Linked DNA regions of Callithrix jacchus. The protein of the gene in region 1 purifies or fractionates together with the protein of each later gene. This does not show direct contact. Links are inferred from orthologs where the notes say so. Each region holds a gene or a part of one and is shown on either strand. Other genes may lie near its edges.

Region 1 (5,771 bases):
ACAAATTAGCCAGGTGTGTGGTACATGCCTTTGATCCCAGCTACTTGGGAGGATGAGGTGGCAGGATAGCTTTGCCCAGGAGGTTAAGGCTACAATGAGACATGATCACACCACTGCACTCCAGCCTGGGTGACAGAGCAAGACCTTGTCTCAACAAAAAAACACAAAAACACAAACAAAAAACCCTGCCTTTTTCCTAAGGCCTTACCAGCTAAAGCTAGTCAACCTGGCTTTGAAAAAAACAAAAAATCACCACAACAACCTATATTTGGACAAACTTTACACACAACCTACAATCCAGGAAAATAGATTGTTATTAATCTTGCCAACTGACTGCCCTCCAGCCTCTAAAGAAACTAGTTTATAGAGTACACCAGACATTAAGCTTCATTTATCTTGTTCCATAAAAATGTCTCATTAAAGATCTGTTTGCCTACATCATATACAGAGGCCTAGCTTTGAGAACTCATCTACAATGCCATCTCCTGAAATGAGACACAACAATTTAACTGGACTGGCCAAATGAGAGACTGGTTTAATGGGATCTCTTGCCAATCAATTACTAGCCTGATTTCTCTCTCCAAAGACACCAACTCAGCTTATAGTGAAACTTCTAAGGAAGTTTCAAATAAAGAAGACCAGGGACTCACACCTTAAAATATAGCATCCTATATGTTAATTATTTTAAATTAAAGGCCCTTGGATACCAGCAGATACTGGAAACAGCTTTACTCTGATAACTACCTTATCTGCCTAAAGTCCAGACCTGTCAAAGAAGACAACAATTACTTCTACGTTTTCATTAATTTAACTCATAGTACCGGAAGAAAGATTGAAACCTGTTAACACACCTGGACAGACTTTTGTTAGAAACCATCGTCTGCTCTGCAGGCTCAACAGTAGTTGTCCCAGCCCACTGAATCACCCTAAAAATCATTTACCATCCACCTTAAAATCACCCACATTTCCCCATCTCCCATATTCCTAAGAAGAAGGGCATATAACCATCTGTACCCCATTGGGTCATTCTCCTACAATTCCCTCATGCTATGCACGTTAAAATAAAATATCTTTTGAAGTGCCCTTTGTCGGTTGATTTTTTGAACAAACCCTCAGAGAGCAAGGGGAAGTTTCTCCTTGCCCCCCACGTGCTATATGGCAGAGGGCGAAGCGCTTTAAGTTAATGTTCTGAGCGGTCCCTCCACCCCTACCGAGGAAACACAGCAAGGAGCTTGGGACGGATTTTTTACGACGTATTTTTTTTTTACAATTCCTTTACAATCGCCCCAAAATTTTATCCACTTTCACATCCTCACGATCCAGCAGAGTGCCTAGAGTGTACACTCTAGAAATGTTTACTGAATTAAGAAACGGCTGACAGTGTGTGCAGCTAGTGTGGCCAGAAGAGCAGTTTCAAGTCCCAGGCACTCATTAGTTGTGTGATCTGGGGCAAGTCGCCTAAATATACCGAGATCCATTTCTTCACCAATGAAACAAGAACATTACTACTTCCCTTGTCTACCTACTGGCTCCTCAGGAGGCTTTACTTAATGAGCGGCACTGTAAAACGCTGTACACGTCTATGTAGAGTTTTCATAGGGCTGTTGATTAGTGTGAATGGTGAAATGGAAAGAAACCTGGACTCCGCAGTCAGAAGCTGTTGGGCCGCTCGCTGACTTGATGATGGTCCGGACCCTGTACTTAATAGTTTGTAAGTCCGCTACAGGCTCGGAACCTCAAGTGTCCTCAGAAAGGGAAAGCCCAGGGTTCCCAGTCAAGGTCGCGGGGTACTAAGACGCGGGACGCTCACCCAGTCAAAGTCACACGGGTTGCCGTCTTCGCGTTGGGTAGGCAGACCGTTGCAGAGCGGCGGCAGTTTCCTCACGAGTAGGAAGGCAGCAGAGAGCAGGGCCGACAGAAGGTAGTAAGGTTGGGCCAGCCATCGTGAAAGTCGCGGCACAGAATACACCAGAGCAATTAGAGGTGCCAGGATCGCCATCTTTTTGGCCGTTAGGGCCGGGGCTCATTGGCGTTGTAGGTCTGGCCCCGCCTCCCTCACCATAGAGACTGCTATTGGGCCGTATCTCAAATGTACCGCCTCTAAATCCGGATGTAGCTCTCTGGACGCTGTGGTAGGTCAGAACCCAAATAAGAATTTAACATATTATTGGTTAGTCTAGTTGTCGCTTTATCCACCTAAGTCATTTTATTGGACTGTAGCAAACGAAGCTAGCAGAAGAATCTAATAAGGTTAAATAGCACTTTCTAAACGTTCTCATAAGGCGACGGAAGTAGTTGCTGAAACAAGGTAAGCGGTGCCTGAGGCATCCAATGACAAGAGGCTCCTTGAGAAAGAGGGCGGTACCCTTAAAAGCATTGTCCAATGAAAATTACCAACGCCAGACATCTAGGCAGCGCCGAGGCGGAGGGGACGATGGAGAATTTCACGGCACTGTTCGGGGCTCAGGCTGACCCACCACCGCCCCCAACCGCACTCGGCTTCGGACCAGGAAAGCCTCCACCCCCGCCACCACCTCCTCCAGGCGGGGGTCCCGGCACGGCCCCGCCTCCCACCGCAGCCACGGCCCCTCCCGGCGCGGACAAGTCAGGAGCTGGCTGTGGCCCTTTCTACCTAATGAGGGAACTGCCAGGTGAGTACACGGCCTTGCCAAAGCCAGCCAATCAAATCTTAGAGAGGAGGTGATGGGCGTGGTTCTCAGCCGGCTAGCGGAGGTGCCAGGTAACCTAAGAAAGACAGACTCGGACTGTGGAGCCATAAGTCGGAAGCGCTGTTAGGATTCACAAGCAGAGGGATGACTTGAATTCAACCAAACGGCGGGGGAGAGGGACGGTGAATCTCCGTGACACTGGTTTATGTCTCCCTAAAAAAATGATCCAGGACTGGGCGCGGTGACTGATGCCTGTAATCCCAGCACTCTGGGAGGCGGAGGCGGGCGAATCACCTAAGGTCAGGAGTTCGAGACCAGCCTAGTCAACATGATGAAACCCCCCCTCTCTACTAAAAATACAAAAATTAGCCGGGCATGGTTGCGTATACGTTTAATCCCAGCTACTCAGGTGGCTCAGGCGGGAGAATCGCTTTGAACCCGGGAGGCGGAGGTTGCGGTGAGCCTAGATTGCTCCACTGCACTCCAGCCTGGGCGACAGAACGAGACTCCCTCTCAAAAACAAAAGATCCAGGAGATCCAGGGTTTCAGTTAGGAACTTGAGAGGCCTGATTTAATATCTTTGGGGACCCAAAGTTTTAATTTTGCTGTTGGTTTGGGGCAAGTTGCCATTATTCCTTCTAAGGTTCCGGCGTTTCCTGGTCTGTTCTAAGAAGGGATAAGAATCAAACCAAACTCTTTTCATTCAAAAATTAATTTTGTTGAGTTCCTATGTACCAAGCACTTTTGTAAATGCTTGAGATACAGTTATGAACAAGACTGACAAGATGCTTGCTTTTTTTTGGAATGTACATGTCAGTGGAGGAGGCATTGTAAACAAGATTATATCAGAGAGTGATTAATTCTAGGAGGAGAAAACATGATAAAGAATTGAAAGGGGCCAGGCGTGTTGCTCACACCTGTAATCCCAGCGCTTTGGGAGGCCCAGGCAGGAGGATCCTTTGAGTCCAGGAGTTTGAGACCAGCCTGGGCAACATGTCGAGACCCAGTCTCTACAAAACATACAAGAATAGCCAGGCACGGCAGTCCGTGCCTATAGCCCCAGCTATTGGGGAGGCTAAGGGAGGAGATTCTCTTGAACTCAGGAGGTTTCGGCTGCAGTGAACCAAGATAGTGCCACTGCACTCCAGCCTGGGCAACAGATGAGACCATCTCTCAAAAGAAAAAAATGTTGAGGGCAGAACTACTTTAGTTAGAGTGACCAGAGATGCTCTTTCCATGTAGCTAACATTTGAACTAAAATATAAGCATAGACAAAGGGCCAGCTATGGATGGATAGGAGGGAGAGATAATACTAGATACAAGTAATGAGGTCAGAAACCCTGATGTGAGAAAACGCTTAGAATATCTGAGGGACAGAAAATCAGTTGGACTCCAGTGAAGTGAACGAAAGGAAAGAGTCTTAGGAGAGAGAGACAAAAGGAAAGGTGGGAGAGTTAGGCAGAGGCCTTTATAAAGTAATAAAGGCATTTAGATGGCAAATACCAAAGGAAGCCGTTTAAAAAAAAATTTATAGAGGCAAAGTCTCACTGTGTCACCCAGGCTGGACTGCAGTGGCATAATCATAGCTCACTGTGACCTCGAATTCCTGGGCTCATGCTGTCCTCCCAGCTCAGCCTCCCAGGTAGCTAGGGCGACAGGCATGTGCCACCATGGTTGGCTAACTTAAAATTTTTCTGTAGAGATAGGGTCTTACTGTATTGTCCAAGCTGGTCTTGAACTCCTGGCCAACAGCAGTCCTCCTGCCTTGCCCTTCCAAAGTGCTGGGATTATAGACGTGAGCCACTGTGCCCAGCCAAGGAAAGCCATTTTAACACAGGAACTTGGTCAGATTTACTTATTTATAATCATTCAAGCAGCCACATGACAAATAGAAAGTGGGGAAGTCAGAGGTTACCACTCATAGTCCAGGAAAGATGATGGTTCAAACCAGGGCATAGCAGGGCATAGAGAAGTAAATGGATACAGGATGTTAGAGGTAGAGCTGATGGGGATGAAAAGTTGAATATAGGGCCAGGCGCTGTGGCTCATGCCAGTAATCCCAACACTTTGGGAGGCCGAGGTGGGAGAATATCTTGAGCCCGAAAGTTTGAGACAAGCCTGGGAAACATAATGAGACACATCTCTACAAAAAATAAATATAATTTAGCTAGGCATAGTGATGTGTGCCTGTAGTCTCAGCTACTTAGGCGGCTGAGGTGATAGAATTACTTGAGCCCAGGAAGTTGAGGCTGCAGTGAGCCGTGACTGCACCACTGCACTCCAGCCTGGATAATAGGGGAAGAAGTGAAGGAGAGAGTAAAGTGAAGGAATGATGTCTTCTTAAGTTTTCACCTTGAATAATTAGGTGTATGGGTATGGAGACTTGGAAGATGAGGAAGGAACAAGTTTGAAGAGGTGGAAATCAAGTTTTCTGGACATGTTAGGTCTCCAAGATGCCTTTCATTATCTCAAGTCTTATTTCCACATCATGACTTGAGGGAAATAATAACAAATATTGGTATGGTACTCTGAAGTTCACAACACCCTTATATGTAGTAGTATTTAATAGTTAGAATACCCCTTTGAAGTAGGCATTATTATCTATATTTTATAATTGGAAAAACAAATAGAGAAGTTGCCATCCCTTTGATTAGTCAGTGGTTGATGGCCACCAGCAGTTTCTTTTAATCTTTCTTTTGCCTTCCCTATTCTGATTGTAACTATTTATATAATAGCTATAGTCAGTCAACAGATACTGAATATCTGTTCTGGGCAAATGCTGGGTGTATGAGAAGGGTGAGAAGGAGGAAGAGATTAGTAATGCTGGTCATTGCTTTTCAAGTTTAGTTCGGAATGTAAGATTTGTGGTTTAAGGATAGTGACTATATTTCTTATCAACTCCATCTCATTATTCTGTGCTCATGCCTCACAACAGCAATTAACAATATCTTAGCCATCCATATTAAGAACTACCTCATGTTTTTCAGTGTATTGTTATCCAAAATGACAGCAAGAATAAGATGTCACTTGACCTAGACCTTGAATAATTCATGTTGGTGAAGAAAAATTAGGAAGAATTTTCCTAAAAGGAAATAATGTGAA
Region 2 (5,285 bases), on another chromosome or scaffold:
AACTTAACAGTAGTTATCTCTGTGTTCTGTTAAATAATTTTAAATATTTAAAATAAAAACAAAGCACTCAATGATTAACAGAGGTTTAGTTTCTACTCTTTTTTTTGTCAAAATAAAAGGTGGGAGAACTTACTGCCAAATAATTGGAAAACAGCATTGTGTGGTAATGTTTCAGTAGGGTGATTTCTTCTGAAACGCTGTTTGCTAATCCTTGGGGAAATTTGGCTGTGAGCATGCAATTATTACATTTTTATCCACAGAATGGGCTAAAGTTGGCATCACATCCCTCTTGGTTGCCAGAGGCAACACACTGATATAATTTGTGCCCCTATGGCAGACATTTTTGAATAATTTTAGTGATTTTTGCTTTTTCTGATGCTACTTTGGTTGTTTCCTTTCCAGTATCCTACTGTTTGTTGCTCCCCACCATTTCTGACTTCACCCTCCCCGAGTTTTGGGGCACTTGGTGTTGGCTGAGGAGGGTAGAATAATTGAAGGTCCAGATGATTGCCAGGAGGGAAGCCTTGCCGGTGTTCCTGACACATCCTGGGGCAATGCGGGTTGGAATGCTTTCATGGTCCAGCTGCAGTGAAAGAATGTCTGTCCTCTTAAAAACTGACAAAAACAAAACAAATCTTAATTAGGCATATTTGAAATCCAACATGGAGCCTGAAAAATGGACCCTAAGAGAGCTGCTTTTGGGGGCTTTTGAATTCTTTTGCTGTAGAATTTGAGATTCCTTCAGGTTTCCCCTTCACCATTCTGTCCTGCTTTGCCCCCCTCCTTTTTTTTTTTGGTATACTAACTGATGTTTAACCAGGAGGATCACCAGGTGGACCTCATTTGAGAGTAAACATCTATTCTCCTAGGTTAAGAGTCATGGAAGGGCAAGGGTAGAGCTGCCACACGGCAGGCCACCTCACACTAGCATGCATTCTGGAGGGACGTTGGGGTGGGCATCCTTTTCTGAGCACTGCTTGTACAGGCACAAACCATTTTTAGGGAGCAGATGTTTGTTTTGTCAATACACCCTCGAGATAATCAGAAAGGGGAAGAAAAAGTGTAATTCTTAAACCCATGTGTCTAGAAACTCATGTTTTTCTTCTTTTTTAAATGCAGAGTGGACACAGATATCTACCAGATATCTTCGAGAGCAGTTGGCTAAGATTTCTGACTTTTACCACATGGCCTCCAGCTCTGGTGATGGCCCTGTCCCTGTGCCACCAGAGGTGGAGCAAGCCATGAAGCAGTGGGAATACAACGAAAAGCTAGCATTTCACATGTTCCAGGTAACCTTTCGAAGACATGCAAAATTGTGTGCCATGCTTTTAAGAAGAGAGCAAGTTTCTTATAGTTTGGTATTCTGGGGTTAAATCGTATTTTTATACCAACCAATATGTTCAAAGAAAGCAGTCTGACATTTCTCACGTTGAATTGTATTCAGGGTAACACATCTGCCCTGGGATGACAGCTCATTATACATATTGATCTCCAGCTTTCAATCATGTCAACTCTTTGAGTGCTATTAATTACTTTGTAATTGGACTATTAAATATAATCCTTCTAAACCTTTTATTTTGCAAGATTGAATATATTTATTCAAAAACATCTTTGTGCTGATACCTTCTGTGGTAGCAGACCTCCTTTAGACCCAAGTTGTTGCAGAGAAAGGTTGTCTTAATTCAACTGCAGCTGAAAATGCACAATGGGTCGCATGGCGGGTCAGGGGGATGGGGCTGGTAGGGGCGTGGAGGAATGACTGACTCTCACCCAGACAAACGGATGTACATAATGTTGACCTCAAGAGGGAGCTTGGGCTGTAAAATAGGAGAGATGAATTCAGTTCATGTCTTCTTATTAGCAGAGATTTTAGTAACTGTTGTCTTGATTAAAGAGGGAGGGGACATGTGGTTTCTAAGTTTTCCCTTTGGAACCTTTATTAAAATTTTCAGGCTCTTCTAAGAGCTCAACATAGGATAAAATAAGGTCTTTTTGAGATGTAATGTTGTTAGTTTTTAAGTCAGTAAAAACAAATCCTAGTTCCATTTAGAAGAGGGACTACTTCAGTGACTGCCCTGAGCTTTTATGACTTTTACTGAGCTCAGAATTTAGTCTGCATCTTGGAAAAAGTGTCTCTCAGCATGCTTAATATTTTTGGAAGAATTACATATTAGGAGTATTGAAAGCAGTTAGGTCCTGAAGGAATGAATATAATTGAAATAGTAATGTTAAGTTTTAAAAGTTCGTTATATTTCAATTTGCCATATTCTGAAATGTGAAACAGACCCTAATTCATACACATGAAGACAAATATATGCAGAAACAAGGGCATGGGTATATAAACAAAGCGTCTACAGGATGGACTATTGTTTATGAAGATCCTTTTTTTTTTTTTGAATCTTGAAGTTACCATCTCTTATACCTTAATGGAAAATTCTGTTTCGTCTCTTTTTAAAAAAACATTTAAATTAACTTTAAATTGACAAATAAAAACTGTACCTATATTTATTATTTTAGAACTCACTTTCCTGCTACTAAACTTTTAAATTGTGCTTTTTTGTGACTTTTTAACTGTTCTTGACTCTAAACATTGAAAAAAATTAGAAATTAGCAGGAAGTATACCTTGATGTCATGTCAGTGTGGCCTCATTGTAGACCTTGAAATACTCTGAGCTATAATTTATCAGTGTAATATTTTCCCATGACTCCTTAATAACCATTACAGTGGGACACTGGATACCTAACAGTTGCTAGGAACAAAGTCAAATTTCGTATGACCTACTAAGTTTGTTACCAGAATGACCATAAAAGTATGTGTCTTTCCCAGATTTCTGTCTCAAAGATTCTTTCATTCTGTGAATTATAATATAAAACTGTAATAGGATATTAAATCTATGTATGCATAGAATGTCATACTGTGTATGTCTATATATATGTGTATATGTATTTGAAGGCAATAGACAAAAGATGCTTGTAGTGCTTATATCAAGATTAGTGGTCTCACTAGGAGCTGTGTCACCCCTGTGGCACATTTTAGAAATTCTTGGGGGTATTATTGTTTTTTTATTGTAGTTGTGTTGAAATGGCTTATACGTGATTTTATCATAGCTCCTTTCATTTCTGGTATTAGGTCATCATATTGATGTTTAAGGTTATATTTTATAGATAGGTGATAGTATCTGACACTAATTTTAGGATAGTGAAAGAAGCTATTGTGGGGCATTGGATCTGATGGGGTTTTCAAACTTTTGTTAAAATGATGGTGTGATCAGTGCTTATCTTCTTTTTAATTGTCACTGAAATCCAAGTTTCCTTCTATGAGCATGAGTTCATACTCCCCCAAAATCTAGCCAGGAGCTTGACACACCCTGTGGGTGTGAAAGCCTCTGAAGTTTGTTGTTGTTGTTGCTGTTGTTGGAATTAATTTTTCTCAATTTTGAGCAGATTACTAAAAAACAAAAAAACTATACACAACAGATTAGTTCTTTGATTTGTTTAGAATTTGGACTGTGTTCATTGAGACTGTTTAACAGCAGCAAAAAAGTAGTAAAATTTGACTTAAGCATAAGAATGACAGTGCTTTTTCGTCTTTAACGTTATTAATGTAATTTTTCTTTGTTCATTTAAGGAAGGAATGCTAGAAAAACATGAATATTTGACATGGATCCTGGATGTTTTAGAAAAAATCAGACCAATGGATGATGATCTTCTTAAACTTTTGTTACCACTAATGCTGCAGGTATAGTACATGTCCCCTTGAGGCAGTTGGTTTTATGAGCAAGAAATGAGTCTGATAAGAATGATTAGGTAAGTGGAGGAGGAAAAGGAAAAAAAATCCTTTGAAATGGAAGGAAAAAATGTCTTTGATGCTACAAAATATGAGGTGATAAAGGCTTCTAATAAGTTTTATCCATCATTTGTATTAACCATGTTTGTAGTTTTTATCCATGTGTCCCAAGTTTTAAGTAATTTTACTCACATTGATTTCTCCCATCACTGAGCAAAGCAACCAACTTTTAAAATACTGTCTCCCTGTAATAACACAGATTTCTGTGAAAACAAAACAAATTATCCCTTTCGAAGATAAAGGATGTTCTACATTCTTTTGACAAGTCTTTGAGATTCTTGGGGAGGAAACTTTTTGTTTTGATGATTGGTCTAAGACGTGCTTATATTTGAAGTATCTGGGTGAGATTTATTTTAAAAAATTTCTTAAGTGATACATATATTTTATAATTTAAGCAAAGTGAAAGAATATCCAATGAGCAGCAGTTCTCCCTTTCACTCTCATACCCTCCCCACAGACTACACCACAGGGTCCTGTGTCTCTCCCTTGAAATAGTCTGTACCTGCACTGTCCATTACAATGGCCACTAGCCAGATGTGGCTATTGAGCTCTTGAAATGTGACCAGTCCAAATTGATGTGTGCTCTAAGTGTAAAATGCACACCAGATTTCAGACTTAGTATGAGAAAGTGTATAACAGTTGTACTTTTTATGTTGATTACTGGTTGAAATGATAACATTTTGGATATATTGGGCTAAATAAAATACATTAATCTTCTACTTTTTGCCTGTTTCTTATTTTTTTCATGGCCCCTAGAAACTTTAAAATTACACCTGTGGCTCACATTCTATTTCTATTGGACAGCACTTGCTTTATATCTTTGAAGTTTTTTTTCTTTTTTAAATGAAAGAAAGTCTATGTTAAAATAGTTATTTAACCAAGACGCATAAGACATGACTGAAGTCTGGTGTCCTTCTACTTCTCAGTATTCAGATGAGTTTGTTCAGTCGGCCTACCTGTCTCGTCGTCTTGCCTACTTTTGTGCCCGGCGTCTTTCCTTGCTGCTGAGTGATAGCCCCAACCTCCTTGCTGCCCACTCACCCCACATGATGATAGGACCAAACAACTCGAGTATCGGGGCCCCCAGCCCTGGCCCCCCCGGCCCTGGCATGAGCCCTGTGCAGCTGGCCTTCTCAGATTTTCTTTCCTGTGCACAGCATGGTCCCCTGGTTTATGGACTTAGTTGTATGTTGCAGGTAAGTCCTTGGCCCTTGTTACTTTATGTTAAAATTCAGCGTGGGAAGTGATTGAGTTGGGAATGGCATTTTCAATTCTCTAGTTGAACTTCTACAACTGTTTTGTTTTTTCCTCACCCAAATAATTTATCGATTGAAATTTTATGTTTTTATTTCCCTGTGAGGGATCAAGCTGAGAGAAAATTTGTTGCATTCATCTAGGAGAAAGTTATTGCCGTTGTCCTTTATTAGGTTCATTAAGC

Evidence for each region.
Region 2: the proteins of MED19 (region 1) and MED12L purify together in Homo sapiens (affinity purification with mass spectrometry; 3 studies listed by BioGRID and IntAct, counting the BioPlex papers as one, with this or other methods). This does not show direct contact. The link is inferred for Callithrix jacchus from reciprocal best matches to the Homo sapiens genes MED19 and MED12L.

Annotation. Positions count from the first base shown.
Region 1 is NC_133511.1:115,289,209-115,294,979, reverse strand, and holds the start of MED19 (mediator of RNA polymerase II transcription subunit 19), read left to right. Parts: upstream 1-2,401; 5' UTR 2,402-2,434; coding exon 2,435-2,651; intron 2,652-5,771. Other genes in the region: TMX2 (thioredoxin-related transmembrane protein 2), read right to left, coding at 1,811-1,999. UniProt on the Homo sapiens protein: Component of the Mediator complex, a coactivator involved in the regulated transcription of nearly all RNA polymerase II-dependent genes.
Region 2 is NC_133518.1:34,088,206-34,093,490, reverse strand, and holds part of MED12L (mediator of RNA polymerase II transcription subunit 12-like protein), read left to right. Parts: intron 1-1,119; coding exon 1,120-1,289; intron 1,290-3,628; coding exon 3,629-3,739; intron 3,740-4,773; coding exon 4,774-5,043; intron 5,044-5,285. UniProt on the Homo sapiens protein: May be a component of the Mediator complex, a coactivator involved in the regulated transcription of nearly all RNA polymerase II-dependent genes.